2 linked regions of the Xenopus tropicalis genome follow. The protein of the gene in region 2 purifies or fractionates together with the protein of the main gene of each other region. This does not show direct contact. Links are inferred from orthologs where the notes say so. Each region holds a gene or a part of one and is shown on either strand. Other genes may lie near its edges.

Evidence for each region. Proteins that work in one complex are often made in the same cells at the same time.
Region 1: the proteins of ppp1cc (region 2) and pfdn2 purify together in Homo sapiens (affinity purification with mass spectrometry; 4 studies listed by BioGRID and IntAct, with this or other methods). This does not show direct contact. The link is inferred for Xenopus tropicalis from reciprocal best matches to the Homo sapiens genes PPP1CC and PFDN2.

The regions. Positions count from the first base shown.
Region 1 is NC_030684.2:143,077,784-143,085,910, forward strand, and holds pfdn2 (prefoldin subunit 2), read right to left. Parts: upstream 5,163-8,127; 5' UTR 5,160-5,162; coding exon 5,121-5,159; intron 3,504-5,120; coding exon 3,415-3,503; intron 3,253-3,414; coding exon 3,129-3,252; intron 2,029-3,128; coding exon 1,849-2,028; 3' UTR 989-1,848; downstream 1-988. Other genes in the region: nit1 (deaminated glutathione amidase), read left to right, coding at 7,165-7,397, 7,499-7,602. UniProt on the Homo sapiens protein: Binds specifically to cytosolic chaperonin (c-CPN) and transfers target proteins to it. Binds to nascent polypeptide chain and promotes folding in an environment in which there are many competing pathways for nonnative proteins.
Region 2 is NC_030677.2:162,943,755-162,951,238, forward strand, and holds part of ppp1cc (serine/threonine-protein phosphatase PP1-gamma catalytic subunit), read right to left. Parts: intron 5,510-7,484; coding exon 5,279-5,509; intron 4,092-5,278; coding exon 3,987-4,091; intron 1,875-3,986; coding exon 1,651-1,874; intron 1,359-1,650; coding exon 1,224-1,358; intron 116-1,223; coding exon 26-115; 3' UTR 1-25. UniProt on the Homo sapiens protein: Protein phosphatase that associates with over 200 regulatory proteins to form highly specific holoenzymes which dephosphorylate hundreds of biological targets.

The DNA of each region.
Region 1 (8,127 bases), on a different chromosome or scaffold from region 2:
GAAATGCGGCAAGAGGGGCGGTGCTACAGGGGATCGCCGGGGAAGTCTCTGTACCATCTGGGTTTGCACTAAAGCAATATAAAAACCAAACCATTCCATCATGTTTATTATAAGTCCATTATTACTGCAGTACATTACTCAGGCCACCAATACCCCTAATACCCCTCTATGGGGTAAAGCCCCCAAACCCTAAGCCCATAAAATGCCGGATATACCCCGTAGCTCCGCTGTACCCCTCCCTACATACAGCAGCCCCGTGCAGTTAATATACCCACACCCCCCAGCCATACAGAGCAGCCGCTACAGGAGTGGTAACAAGCATACTAATGGAAATATTGTTGTGAGGCTTTACTTACCCTTTACACACATAGTTGTTTCCAATAAGCAAACAGTGTATTGTACATCACAAATAACAAACACAGCCCGATGTTTGTCTCCCCATCGGGGCCCCAATTATTCTCTATAAATGCACAGCAATGGCTGCCCTACTGGTCTGAGACAATGAAAGCCAGAAGCCGATTGGTCACTTGATTTCCCCCATTAGCAACAAATCCTCTACTATAATTTCATATTAAATCTGGCCTAACTTCTGCACCCCTTTATCCTAATTGCAGCCTCGTTTTCCTTGTGTTATAGGGACCACCCCCCAGTTGGTTAGGCACCCCCCCCCCCCAGTTGGTTAGGCACCACCCCCCCCCCAGTTGGTTAGGCACCACCCCCCCAGTTGGATAGGGACCCTCCCCCCCAGTTGGATAGGGACCCTCCCCCCCAGTTGGATAGGGACCACCCCCCAGTTGGATAGGGACCACCCCCCAGTTGGATAGGGACCCCCCCCAGTTGGATAGGGACCCCCCCCCCCCCTGTCTGTCCCTGTGAGACACCCAAGGAGCCTTGCTGGGTGCCGCCTGTATCTGACAGTGGAAATGTTCAAGGTAAAATAAACCCGTTAAGTTAAAATAAATAAAAACCTTGGGACACGCCCCCAAAATAATGAACATGCAAATAAAGTTTAATAACTTGAAAAAAAAAAAAAAAAAAAAAACATTAGACAGTAGGTATCCCACAAGCCTTTGCAGGATAAGACTTGAGCCTACTTTCCTAAGGGTAAGCTGATTTAATTTCCCCAATACTCAGACAGGGAACTCTGATCATCTATACTGCTATTGGGCTGCTCTCTTTCCCATGGTGAGGGGGTGTGGCCTGCACATAACTGACAGGGTCAGACCTGCACTACAATTACTACATAGATATCATGCAATAGAGGACCCACCCACTAAAGACTTCTCAGTTGGGTTAAAGCCCCACCCCCCTGTTTGACCATGGGAAAGAGAGCAGCCCATAGGGGGAAATTAGATTCACTTACCCAGGGAACATGGAGACTGAAGCTTAATGAAATGTCCCAGGGGACTTGTCCTAATAATGACATACGGCCTATATGCACTATAAACGCCAATGCCAGGGGGTGGAGCCCTCCAGTTTGTTTGCACTACAACTCCCATCATCCCTGAGCTTTCAGCTTAATATGGAGTTGTGGTTCCAAACAGCTGTTAGAGCAGACCCCATCCCTGGGGTAAGGGGGTGGAACTAACATGACTGCAGAACGACTGGGACAAACTGGGAATTGGGTGGTGCCCGGACTAATAAGGCATCGCATGAAGCCCCGGGCAACTGCGGGGGCAAACGGTAGCCCAACTGCTGAAGTGCCCATAATGCATAAAGTCCACCAGAAGTCTCCTCGGGCCTAAGAGCATGAACTGGGAAAGGAAGGGGGGGTCTGTGCATGGTTGCGTCCAATCAGACAGGAGCCTGAGCTCACTCTGGGCAGACCGGGCACGGGCACGCTCTGTATCAGGACACAAGGACACCTGCAGAGCTGGGCTTGGAGCCGTCACTGTCCCCGCCCTCCTTGGGGGGCTGCTTGGCCTCATCCTCCCCCATGATCCGGATGTTGTGCTTCTCCCGGAACTCATTCAGCTCTCGGCCCTTGGTCTGTAGCTGTGTGCTCAGGGACTCCAGGATCTTGTTAATCTGCAGAGAGATGAGACGTGGGGGTTACGCTCAGAACTGGGGGGGGGGGGGGGGCAGCTACATGCCAGGGCCACCCAGTATCACCCAATGTAGCTCAGAATGGCAGGGCAAGAGCTGAATGCAACTGCCCAGGGCAGCCAATCACTTGTGTTTCATGTCTGTAGCCACACCCTAGCCAGTGTCAAGCTCCGCCCTCCCCAACTAACATTTACTTGGTCTTGAATGCTTTGATAAGGGGTAATTATATCTTAGGGCTGTTCTGCCCCAATAAGGGGTAATTATATCTTAGTTGGGATCAAGTACAGGTACTGTTTTATTATTACAGAGAAAAGGGAATCATTTAACCATTAAATAAACCCAATAGGGCTGTTCTGCCCCCAATAAGGGGTAATTATATCTTAGTTGGGATCAAGTACAGGTACTGTTTTATTATTACAGAGAAAAGGGAATCATTTAACCATGAAATAAACCCAATAGGGCTGTTCTGCCCCAATAAGGGGTAATTATATCTTAGTTGGGATCAAGTACAGGTACTGTTTTATTATTACAGAGAAAAGGGAATCATTTAACCATGAAATAAACCCAATAGGGCTGTTCTGCCCCAATAAGGGGTAATTATATCTTAGTTGGGATCAAGTACAGGTACTGTTTTATTATTACAGAGAAAAGGGAATCATTTAACCATTAAACCCAATAGGGCTGTTCTGCCCCAATAAGGGGTAATTATATCTTAGTTGGGATCAAGTACAGGTACTGTTTTATTATTACAGAGAAAAGGGAATCATTTAACCATGAAATAAACCCAATAGGGCTGTTCTGCCCCCAATAAGGGGTAATTATATCTTAGTTGGGATCAAGTACAGGTACTGTTTTATTATTACAGAGAAAAGGGAATCATTTAACCATTAAATAAACCCAATAGGACTGTTCTGCCCCAATAAGGGGTAATTATATCTTAGTTGGGATCAAGTACAGGTACTGTTTTATTATTACAGAGAAAAGGGAATCATTTAACCATTAAATAAACCCAATAGGGCTGTTCTGCCCCCAATAAAGGTTAATATGCCCTTTAATTAGGTGCCCACAAGGCAGAGCCTTACCTGCTCTTTATTATTCTCCAAAGCCGGAAGCACTTCCTTCACGGTGCGTTCCACCAGTACCCCCCCGACCATCCGGAAACACTTCCTGCCCTGCTCCACTTCCTTCAGGGTGTCGATAACCAACCTGCGGAGCGAGGGAGACGACTGTCAGTTAGTTAGGGAGATCTGCACTGGTTCCGACTACAGAACAAATGTAGCGTGCAACAGAGAGGAATAACGACCCTCGGGGAGAATCACATTGAAGGATTCTTCATTGCTGAACGACCTGTTTGCTAATGAGACTCACGTGTGTTCGTTAAGCTCCATCTCCAGTTCCGCTGCCTTGGACGCGAGACCTCGCTGCTCCTGGCGCAGGCGATTAAATCCAGCCACCACCTGTAGCAACAAACACAGAACGTACATATTAAACAAGGGTATTTGGCTTAACTTTCCCTTTAATGGCAACTCTTAAACAATGTGGGCAAACAGATCAGCCCAGCATTGGCTCATCTTCTTACAGGGGCCTATGGGGTCCAATATCCAGAAACCCTTTATCCATAATGTTCCATAGACTTCTTTTTTAATCACGTTAAAAAGTTATTTCCCTTTTCTCTGTAATAATAAAACAGTACCTGTACTTGATCCCAACTAAGATATAATTACCCCTTATTGGGGGCAGAACAGCCCTATTGGGTTTATTTCATGGTTAAATGATTCCCTTTTCTCTGTAATAATAAAACAGTACCTGTACTTGATCCCAACTAAGATATAATTACCCCTTATTGGGGCAGAACAGCCCTATTGGGTTTATTTAATGGTTAAACAATTCCCTTTTCTCTGTAATAATAAAACAGTACCTGTACTTGATCCCAACTTAGATATAATTACCCCTTATTGGGGGCAGAACAGCCCTATTGGGTTTATTTAATGGTTAAATGATTCCCTTTTCTCTGTAATAATAAAACAGTACCTGTACTTGATCCCAACTAAGATATAATTACCCCTTATTGGGGGCAGAACAGCCCTATTGGGTTTATTTAATGGTTAAATGATTCCCTTTTCTCTGTAATAATAAAACAGTACCTGTACTTGATCCCAACTAAGATATAATTACCCCTTATTGGGGCAGAACAGCCCTATTGGGTTTATTTCATGGTTAAATGATTCCCTTTTCTCTGTAATAATAAAACAGTACCTGTACTTGATCCCAACTAAGATATAATTACCCCTTATTGGGGCAGAACAGCCCTATTGGGTTTATTTAATGGTTAAATGATTCCCTTTTCTCTGTAATAATAAAACAGTACCTGTACTTGATCCCAACTAAGATATAATTACCCCTTATTGGGGGCAGAACAGCCCTATTGGGTTTATTTCATGGTTAAATGATTCCCTTTTCTCTGTAATAATAAAACAGTACCTGTACTTGATCCCAACTAAGATATAATTACCCCTTATTGGGGCAGAACAGCCCTATTGGGTTTATTTAATGGTTAAATGATTCCCTTTTCTCTGTAATAATAAAACAGTACCTGTACTTGATCCCAACTAAGATATAATTACCCCTTATTGGGGCAGAACAGCCCTATTGGGTTTATTTAATGGTTAAATGATTCCCTTTTCTCTGTAATAATAAAACACTAAGGTGCCCCAGTCCCATTGTTGAACCCCCTTCCAACTGAGGGATTATGGGATATCACTAACAGCTCAGTACCATAGCAACACTGCTACCAAGCTGGCTAGCAACAGTTTCTAGGAAGCAGAAGAGCCGGCTGCTCCTGGGCTGCTGTGGGAAGGCTATCAGGGATCCCAATAGGGAATGAATCTGAGTAAATGCCCAAGGAAGCCTGTTCCCACTGAGCTTATAATAGCACATGTGTCTATATAAGGGAATGAATGGCCATAATGAAAAAAGGGCTTTGGGCTTAGTTGCCCTTTAAACGGCCGGTTGGGGGGGGGGGGTACCGGCCGGGCAGACCCCCCAGCAGCCATTATGCCCACCATGCCCAGTACCTGCTCGGCCGCCACCTGCTTCGCTGCATTAGACGCCATCACGCTTCTCTCTCGCACTGCGCACCTTCTCCGCGCAGCGGAAGTCTATGCGTTCCGACGCCACTTCCGCCCGGGAAGTCCTGGCGGCGCCATGTTGAGAGAGGGAAAAGCATGACTGGAAGCGCCTGGTTGGTGGGGCGCATAAGCCGCGTCATAGTCGGGCCGTAGTAAGTGACGTCAACACATTGTGACAGCTGAGGCCTCCTGGGAAAGTGTGTGTGTCAGATATATCGCCGCTTCTTTATAGCCCGTGCGGGGGGGCTGCGTAATGCGATTGGCTAATGGGGTGTCCGGAAGTCTCTAAACTACAGATCCCAGAATGCTCAGCCAAAGCCCGGGGAGCTGACGTTAGCCTCCTGTTGTCATGTGACTACTCCCTAGTGCGCCTGTTATTGGTCAGCCACCATTTCTGGGGTTTCTCTGCCCAGATGCAGGTTAAATAAACATATATAACTACACTAGAGAATAACAAGTCAAATGGGGTTCATCTTGGGGTTCCCAGCTCATTCCCTATCTTGGTAAAGAGATTAAAGGGAAAGTAAAGTCTTAGCACTTAGTGTCTTGGACTAAATCTCCCAATCCTGTTTCCCATTTATTTCTTTATAGTTTTTAAATAAATTCTTCTTCTGCCTCTTTGCAGCTTTCAAATGGGGGTCACTGACCCCGGCAGCCAAACCCTATTGCTCTGTGAGGCTCCAGTTTTATTGTTATTGTTACTTTTTATTCCTTATCTTTCTATTCAGCCCCTCCCCTATTTATATACCCGCCTCTCATTCAAATCACTCCCTGGTTGCTAAGGTAATTTGAGCCCTAGCAACAGTATAACTGACCCCGGCAGCCAAACCCTATTGCTCTTTGAGGCTCCAGTTTTATTGTTACTTTTTATTCCTTATCTTTCTATTCAGCCCCTCCCCTATTTATATACCCGCCTCTCATTCAAATCACTCCCTGGTTGCTAAGGTAATTTGAGCCCTAGCAACAGTATAACTGACCCCGGCAGCCAAACCCTATTGCTCTGTGAGGCTCCAGTTTTATTGTTATTGTTACTTTTTATTCCTTATCTCTCTATTCAGCCCCTCCCCTATTCATATACCCGCCTCTCATTCAAATCACTCCCTGGTTGCTAAGGTAATTTGAGCCCTAGCAACAGTATAACTGACCCTGGCAGCCAAACCCTATTGCTCTGTGAGGCTCCAGTTTATTGTTATTGTTACTTTTTATTCCTTATCTTTCTATTCAGCCCCTCCCCTATTCATATGCCAGCCTCTCATTCAAATCACTCCCTGGTTGCTAAGGTAATTTGAGCCCTAGCAACAGTATAACTGACCCCGGCAGCCAAACCCTATTGCTCTGTGAGGCTCCAGTTTTATTGTTACTTTTTATTCCTTATCTTTCTATTCAGCCCCTCCCCTATTCATATACCAGTCTCTCATTCAATCCACTCCCTGGTTGCTAAGGTAATTTGAGCCCTAGCAACAGGAGAACTGACCCGTTTTATTGTTACTGTTACTTTATATCAATTACCTATCTATTCAGCCCCTCTCCTATTCATATTCCCTTCTCTCGTTCGAATCAAAGCCTGGTTGCTAGGGTACTTTGCACCCTAGCAACCAGGCAACTGAAACATGAAACCCAAATTCTTTTTTTTAATGAAATCATCCATACTTGTTATAAATGTATTTAAAAATCTGAGCTGTCAATCATATATTGCCTATATATCTATGCCTTCGGCATAGAGGCGGGGCAGGCAATATATGATTGACAGCTCAGATTTTTTCAATTACAATGACTTTTACTTTCCATTCAGCACTTCCTAGATATCACCACAGTGGGGCTGATTATCTGTCAGGCACCCCAGTGACTGGCCGGGGGGTAAATTACCTGCAGAGCTCACTGCCACCATTGCCTAGGTACCTCCCTTTGAGTGGGAGGGATTACGACTGTTCTGATTGGACTAAATCCCCCAATCATGTTTCCCATTTACAGGGTTAGACGACTGAGCGCCATGGCGAGTGCTGCCAAGCCCCTGATTGCGGTGTGCCAGATGACTTCTACGTCCGACAAGGAGAAGAATTTCGCCACGTGTTGGGGGCTGATCCGGGGGGCTGCGGCGCGGGGGGCCTGCATGGTGTTCCTGCCGGAAGCCTTTGACTATATTGGGGGCAACGCCGAGGAGACGCTGAGCCTGGCCGAGACCCTCCATGGGGACACTATCCAGCGTTACTCCCAGCTTGCCAGGTGGGTATGTGCCGATGCCCCGGGGATGGGGTGCAACCCCCCAGCTTTGCCCTATACAGTGTATATTCCTAACCCCCCCCCGTATCGCTGCTTTATACCAGGGAGTGCGGCCTTTGGCTTTCCCTGGGGGGATTCCACGAGAAAGGACCCAACTGGGACACGGACCGACGCATTTCCAATTCTCACGTGGTCTTGGACAATACAGGTAGGGCCACTGCACTTACAGCACAGTATTCTGGGGAAATGGGGGCGGAGAGAATTTAGCCACACCCACTCTTTCCTCTCCGGGTTCAGTAATGTTGCAGAAAGGTTCTGTCCCTCAACGTCCGTGTGTAAGGGGCTCATTGGCACAGCTGGTCTGTTATAGAATGGCCAATTCTAAGCAACTTTTCAATTGGTCTTCATTACTTATTTCGTAGAGTTTTCGAATTATTTTCCTTCTTCTTCTGCCTCTTTGCAGCTTTCAAATGGGGGTCACTGACCCCGGCAGCCAAACCCTATTGCTCTGTGAGGCTCCAGTTTTATTGTTATTGTTACTTTTTATTCCTTATCTTTCTATTCAGCCCCTCCCCTATTCATATACCCGCCTCTCATCCAAACCGCTCCCTGGTTACTACGGTCATTTGGACCCTAGTAACAAGATAGCTGTTATAACTCCAAACTGCAGAGCTGCTGAACAATTATTGAATTATTTAAAAAAACGGCAAGTAATAAAAAATGAAGACCAATT
Region 2 (7,484 bases):
ATACAAGTCCAAAAAGAAAAAGCTTTTATTTCTTTGCTTGTTTTGTGATCATGCCTCGTGGTGGCGTTACAGGTCTGCTTGCATTAGGCTTCTTTTTCTCTGCAGGTTTTAGGATCTGAAAAAGAAAAGAAATTCAGTATCAGACACCTAGAACACTAAGTGGAGAGCAACACAGGAGGGTTTATCTGCGGGTAATAAACTATAGACTATAATTCTATTCTGATACACATTTATTACACGGCTTTACTTCCCATGATTTCATAGTGTATCATGGCATTAATGGTGTATTTTAATTAAATTTTTTTTTTAAATGGCAAAATAAAGCTAAAAGGGGATTTGCTAGCCTAAGAAAATAATTTAAAAAAAAAAAAAAGTAGGCAGGTGCCATTTTGTGGGCACTGTTATTAGGCAAGTTGTGTATTTGTGTAATACTGAATGAAAAGTAACTGTCCTGCTTCTATACCTGAGGCAGATAGCAGGGAAAAGCAATATATGATTGAGAACATTTGCATGCAAGTCTGCATGTACAATGTATAACCCCATTTACTGTATAGAGCTGTAGAATGTTGGTGCGTATTTATAAAAAAAAAAAAAAAAAAAAAAAAAACAACTTTCCATATGCATTTTAGTATATACAGAATAGCTTCAGATGATCATATCCCAAGCACTTCTGGTATTTCAGGAAAAACCTCTGCTGCAGTACCCAGGTTATTAAAGATCATACAGCCATCTGAAAGTCCATAACAAACATGCTAAAATTGTGTACCTCCAGGTGTGTGTGCTGGTAAGGACCAAGATATTGCAAAACCTATGCACAGGGACATTTACAGGCCAGTCACAAACTTTCCCTTCCTACTTACAAGGGAATTATTAACACAGTGAGACATGTGGAATGTCACTGCTTGGCACAGCAAGACATGTATTTTATTTATAGGCACCTGAGGGCATGTGCTTAAGGCAACACAATACTTACTGTAACAGTCAAGAAAAAATATAAAAAAAATATATATTATAGGCAAGCAGAAACTTCCACAAGAACAGGACAACTACAACGCGGTCATTCGCCTGATGTATAACCCACATCATCCACTGGGCCAACTACAGGACCGAGCCAAAAAGGTCTCCAATTAGGAAGTAGCTAGCTACAGGGCATAGGCTTTCTTCCACTGCTATTACACTTTTTTTCCATGTTGAAAGTGAATTAAAAATATACCCAATCTTACCTGGAAGGAACACATTAACGTTTCATCTACACTCATCATTGCTCCAGCATTATCAAATTCTCCACAATAGTTTGGGGCTGAGAACAAAGTAACCAGTTGTCTCTTGGCAAAAAATTCATACCCATCTTCAACCACCTGAAAAAGAAAAAGCGCCATTAATTTAGGGTTCCAAACAAATGTTACATTAGGCAGAACAAAAACCCAAAGCCTGTTTTGCGTATTTCACTTTTCAGAAACAGTACAAGTCAGAACTTACAGCTCAAGTTAGCAGCATGTTGTATATGAAAGCAAAATGGAATGTTTTTAGCCAACAGACTGTACTGAAAAACATACAAGGTGGTTTTACCATAAGTGATCCTGTGATACGCAATACACTAACCCACTTTTGTTACAGGTAGACAAAACACACAATTAGTTTACAATATACCTGATGAGCTCGGCAAATGAGATCCAGATCATGTTTGTGTAGAAATTTTGCAACCACTTCAGCTCCAAAAGTAAAAGATACACCTCTGTCATTTTCACCCCACCCTAGGACATCTTTGTCAGGATCAGACCAAAGTAAGTCACACAGAAGACCCTGGTCTGGAACGTCAGTAGGACGCATAATTCGTCGGATCTGCTCCATCGACTGAAGGTCTGGAGACAAACCTATAAAATAAAGTCACATGTTAGTATAAGATTGCTAGATATTTAAAGACAAAATACACTTGTAACTAGACCAAACCACTCCTACCCTTTTTCATTAATGCTGGGATTCAGCTGGAGAATAAAAAGCCTGCTGTGATTACAGGCTAGGTAACAAGTTGGGGCAGTTAACTTTGATCAGACTGAGCTGCAATATGGCACATCATTGACAGCATAACAATATGAATACTATGTATAAAAAGTAAATGCAAAACTTGCAAAAATGGTGTTACAGTTCCTAAAAATTTTTTTCAGTGCAGTCTGTCTAAACCAGGGCTGTGGAGTCGGTAGATAAATTCTCCGACTCCTCAGTTTGATACTTCCGACTCCGACTCCTCTGTATTTAATATGCTAATGTATTTTATACATTCATACAGTCAATGAAAAGCTTCATGGTCACTCAACGTGTTTATGCACTGCGTGCATTGGGCTTTATTCTTATAGCAGAGAAGTAATTAATTATGACTGTTTGTGAATTGGGACATTTAAACTTGCTTTATTTATTAAATTAAATTATTTTATTAAATTTTAAATTTATTAAATTTAGTCTGAGTCGGTTCATTTTTTGCCGACTCTGACTCCAGGTACCCAAAATTGCCTCCGACTCCACAGCCCTGGTCTAAACTGCAATTGAATGAAGCAGGGATACAAACATAATACAGACTTAGATGCTAGAATATAAGGAGTCCAAGCACTGGCAGCCTTCAATTTACATTATACTTGAGGATTAGACACCTACCGCAGGCTCATATGCACAGCAGCAAATATAACCACCGCTGACTGGTATAATTCCCACATGATCTGGTTATGAGAGACATTACCTAACACTTCATTCAACTGCAAATCACTTCGGTATGTAATGATTTGTGCAGTTTAACTCCATTCTTGCTAAAAGCATCAGTCAAGCCCAACTCCCACCAGCAACAAAGTTCATTTTTAGAATTCTTAGCAAGGCAATGTTGCAGGTGAACCTTTTCTAATCAAGGCTACCAAAGCTGCTGGTACTAAGATATCCAGCAATAATTACCAATATACAGTCCCAGATCCCCTTTACATAACCTGTATATGTTTGTGAAAGGAAACCATTCACCAAACTAAATACACATTCAGTTGGAAATGTTTTCATTAAATTAACCCTTAATAAAGCGTTCGAAGCATATATGAATATGTATCTGGGTTGCAGGTTTTAAACACCTTAGAGGACCAGCTCTATCTTTCAGATTTATTACATTCACTGTTTCATCAAAAGTACGGTTATAAAAATGCTTCCGGTTGTACACTCCCAATAAGGTAAAACACACAATCTGCAAGACCCAAGGTGCGGCGCTGCACTTCCAGACAAACCTACTAAAATCGGAAGCTGGTTGCTGTGGCTCTAAAGCAGATTTTTCAGCTTGCCTTTAATTTAGGTATGTGTGGCAGGGTTACTTCCTTAGCATAAATTATTTATGACTGTTTACAACTGGAGTATTATATAGTGATGGAGTATTATATAGTGATGGAGTATTATATAGTGATTGAGTATTATATAGTGAATAATGTACCCCCTGTTGTAAAATATAGGTGTTTCATGACCATATAGAAGTACGAGGACAAAGTCACAGAACTCCAAGGCGACTTCTAATATCTTCATATTTTACAACAGGGGGTATATTATTTATTATAATACACAAGTTTCATTAAGTCACCTGACAAATTACATCACAAAGCACTTTTTATAATGGATGACATCACTAAGCTCCATTTATAAAGATGTAATACACAAGCCATGAATATCCTGTAAATTATAATTATTTTGATAAAGATTTTAACATGAATCTTTTAGCATGATAGAGCAATTATTGGAGCTGGGTAGAGTGGATCGTTTACTTTAAACAATTTTGAAAACCTTTAAAATGGGCTCCTTGACTGGCAAGCTAACAAAAATGGGAGCAAAGGACACCACACAGAATGTATATGCCTTTGGGATGGAAGAGCACTGAGCCGTATACAAGCAATAGGGATATACATAAAGATCTAAAACATAACTGACGTGACATTTTAAAGAAACCTGCAAAATTCCAAACAGTTCGTTACCTCCATGACAGCAAAATATCTTCTCGTCAACTATAGCAGCTATTGGCAAACAATTAAAGCAATCTGTGAATGTTTTCCATAACTTTATATTATATCTTCTTTTACCTGTGTATAAATAAAAAAAAAAAAATACAACTGTCAAAAAACACCACAAAACAAAAAAACTGCACACAGATAATAGTACTGCCCACATGCATAAGTCTGTACTTAGTCTGCTTGTGTACCACAAGCAGCTCAACTACAGATCTCTGAGATACTTCCTAGTCTAGCATGGAGTCCCACCCCTTTTCTTTGCAGAGATCTTTTTTTAGCGGTAAAGATGGTCTAAGAGGTGTCTGCTCCAATGGAAATCAGGCATGTACAGTAGACACCTCTTCGACCATCTTCACCGTTAAAAAGGAGAGGTCAGCAAAGAAAAGGGGTGGGGCTTTACGCTAGACTAGGCAGCAGCTGAGAGCTGATGTTGAGCGGATTGAGATACAGAATCTACATCAGGGATCCCCAACCTTTCTTATTCGTGAGCCACAGTCAAATGTAAAAAGACTTGGAGAGCAACACAAGCATCATAAAAGTTCATAGAGGAGCCAAATAAGGGCTACGATTGGCTATTAGGCAGCCTATATGCACACTATCAGCTTACAGGAGGCTTTATTTGATAATAAATCTTGTTTTTATTTATTCAACCAAAACTCCCCCAAGTCAGGAATTCAAAATAACTACCTGCGCGCAGGCCTGGCAATTAAGCATTCACTCGCACCTTTATATGCGCAACGTGTTCTTCCGCGTGTCCATCTGCGCCTTTATATGTGCAGGGTGATCCGTGCTGCGCTTTCCTCCCCCGGCGCATTCATTTAATTTGCGGTGAATATGCTGTGTACGCATATGCATTGCGCCTATAAAGACGTGACTCTTTTCTACGTGCCTTTTTTCAGGCGGTGCTTCATGCACACAGCATATTCACAGAGACGGCCCACTAAAACGCAGACCGGCGGTTGGGGACCCCTGATTTAAGAGACTAGTTGTAGGGGTAAAAAAAAAAAAAAAAACACACACACACACACACACACACACACACAACATGACACCAAATACCAAATAATTGTTCAGCAGCTCTCTACACTCAAATCTAAAAATTTTAATAAAATGACATGTTGCAAATTGTCCTAAAATAGCACACACTTTGTCTAAGATTTTGTTAACTAGAACTACCCCATTAAATATTTTTTAGCTTTTAAATATGAATTTGCCAACATCCTATCCCAAGTGAAACAGAATAAAACATAGGTACTTACACTCATCATAAAAGCCATAGATTCTGTTAATGCTGGCACATTCATGATTGCCTCTGAGGAGGAAGAAGTTCTCTGGATATTTGATTTTATATGCCAAAAGAAGACAGATCGTTTCTAAAGACTGCTTCCCTCTGTCCACATAGTCTCCTAGGAACAGGTAGTTGCTTTCAGGTGGGAAACCACCATATTCAAATAATCGCAGTAAGTCATAGTACTGGCCATGAATATCGCCTATGGAGAAAATACATCAAACATTTTTAAAAGCCTACAATAAACCCATACATGTAACATACACATCCAAAGGGCAGATATAAAGGATATATATGTGATGTAAGCATTTGCTGCTGATAAATTCAGTTACTTTCAACATAGTATGAGCCCTTCCTAAAGTGTTTTTTTTTTTTTTTTTTTTAATAAGCCAGTCTACACATTGGAAGTAGCCAAGCATTACCTCTAACAGTTATCAGACCTCTATTATTCAGATAGAGGATCTATGATCTGCCAAACTTGAAATTGGGTTTTGTGGATAAGGGGGTCTTTATCATGTGGGCCACCATAGCATAAAGCTAACCTAATAAAGTACAAGGTTGTTAGGGTGTGGGTACTTACAGCATTTTTTAAAGATCAGGAGCTGGCAGTTGTTGGAAGATAAATTTATTTCCAGAGCGAAAAATCAAAACAAAACCGTCTTTGCTAACTTTTCACAGAAAGCACAGTTCCAACTCCAGAATAAAACACCGCACATTCAGTTACCTCTTTTCAGGCAGCTTCCCTATACTCTGAGATCTGGAGTTCTAATGTATGTTACTTAAGTATGTGAGTTTGCCTTTCCCAGCAGCCCATGCTCTTAAAGGAGAAGGAAAGGCTAGTAAAGAGTTAATCTCAAGCTGCAGGCATACCTTCAGTTCTCTCAATAGTGCCCTTAAGTCTCCCCATATTTGTCCTGTACAGATGATCAGAAGCCAAACAGGAAGAAAAAACGCTGAGCTGTGTAAAGAAAGTTCCCATAATGCTTCACTCCTGCACAGACACCCAGACCAAGTGAACATGCTCAGTTAGACTGAGTCAGCTTCCTACTGATTGGCTGAAATCCACATTCCTAAGGGGGGGGGGGGGGAGGAGGGAGTTCTTAGCATTCTTAAGGGAGGGGGGGCAGGAGAGGGGAGACAGCAGAAGGCTGCGTGTCTCTGGCACAGGAATTAGACACAAGAAATCTTTTCACAGAGAAGTCAGTGCAGCGTTTCTGCGAGTGCTTATGGCTGTATTTACATAGACCTTTCTGATAAAGCTAACTTAGTTTTTACCTTTCCTTCTCCTTTAAAGGCACATTTAGTTACAACAAAACAAACTATTAACAAAAAAAATGTATATAAATATAACTTTTGCTTTCTATTGCTCTATAAGCTTAGAATCTTATTAATAGAAAAAAAAACAGGCACAACAATGTCATTAGCATATAAGAGAAACATTTTGTTTAGAGGAGACTTGCTGCAGGTTTTACCAATTGCCAATTAAGCTCAGTGCATGTCTCCTGCTCACATTGTATTGAATGGAAACAGACACACATGGCAAGTACTATTTTTGGCGATTTTTGTAATGCTGGGTAAAACAGATAGCATAGTTTATTATTTTGTCTGCAGAGAAATAAAGTGGACAGAAAAAAAGGTTTGCTGGCCAGCAATAGAGAAGGGGGGAAAAACATTTTATACCAAACATAAAGGCAGACAAAATAAATCACTGTGCAACAAAAGGTACGGTTATTTATTACAGAGAAAATAAAAATTGTAATTTGCTTAAGGGCTGTGGCACACGGAGAGATAAGTCGCCGTTCGACAAATCTCCCTTGTCGCGGGTGACTAATCTCCCCGAAATGCCATCCAACCGGCAATTTACATTCTAGCTGGTGGGATGGCATATCAGGGAGATTAGTCGCCCGTGACAAGGGATATTTGTCGCGGGCAACTAATCTCCCCGTCTGTCACAGCCCTAAGGGTGAAGACACATGGGGCAACTAGTAGCAGCTAATTGCTGTGGCTACTAAAATAGACAATGTTGATGTTTTACTGATAATTGTCTCTACATATGTTTTAGCAGTGGTAATTCTCAGTATTGTCTATGGCAGGGTATTTTCTGGTGTTTAGTAGCCATGAAAAAGTAGTTGCTACTAGTAGCTCTGTGTATCTTCACCCTAAAATGGACTTGGAGA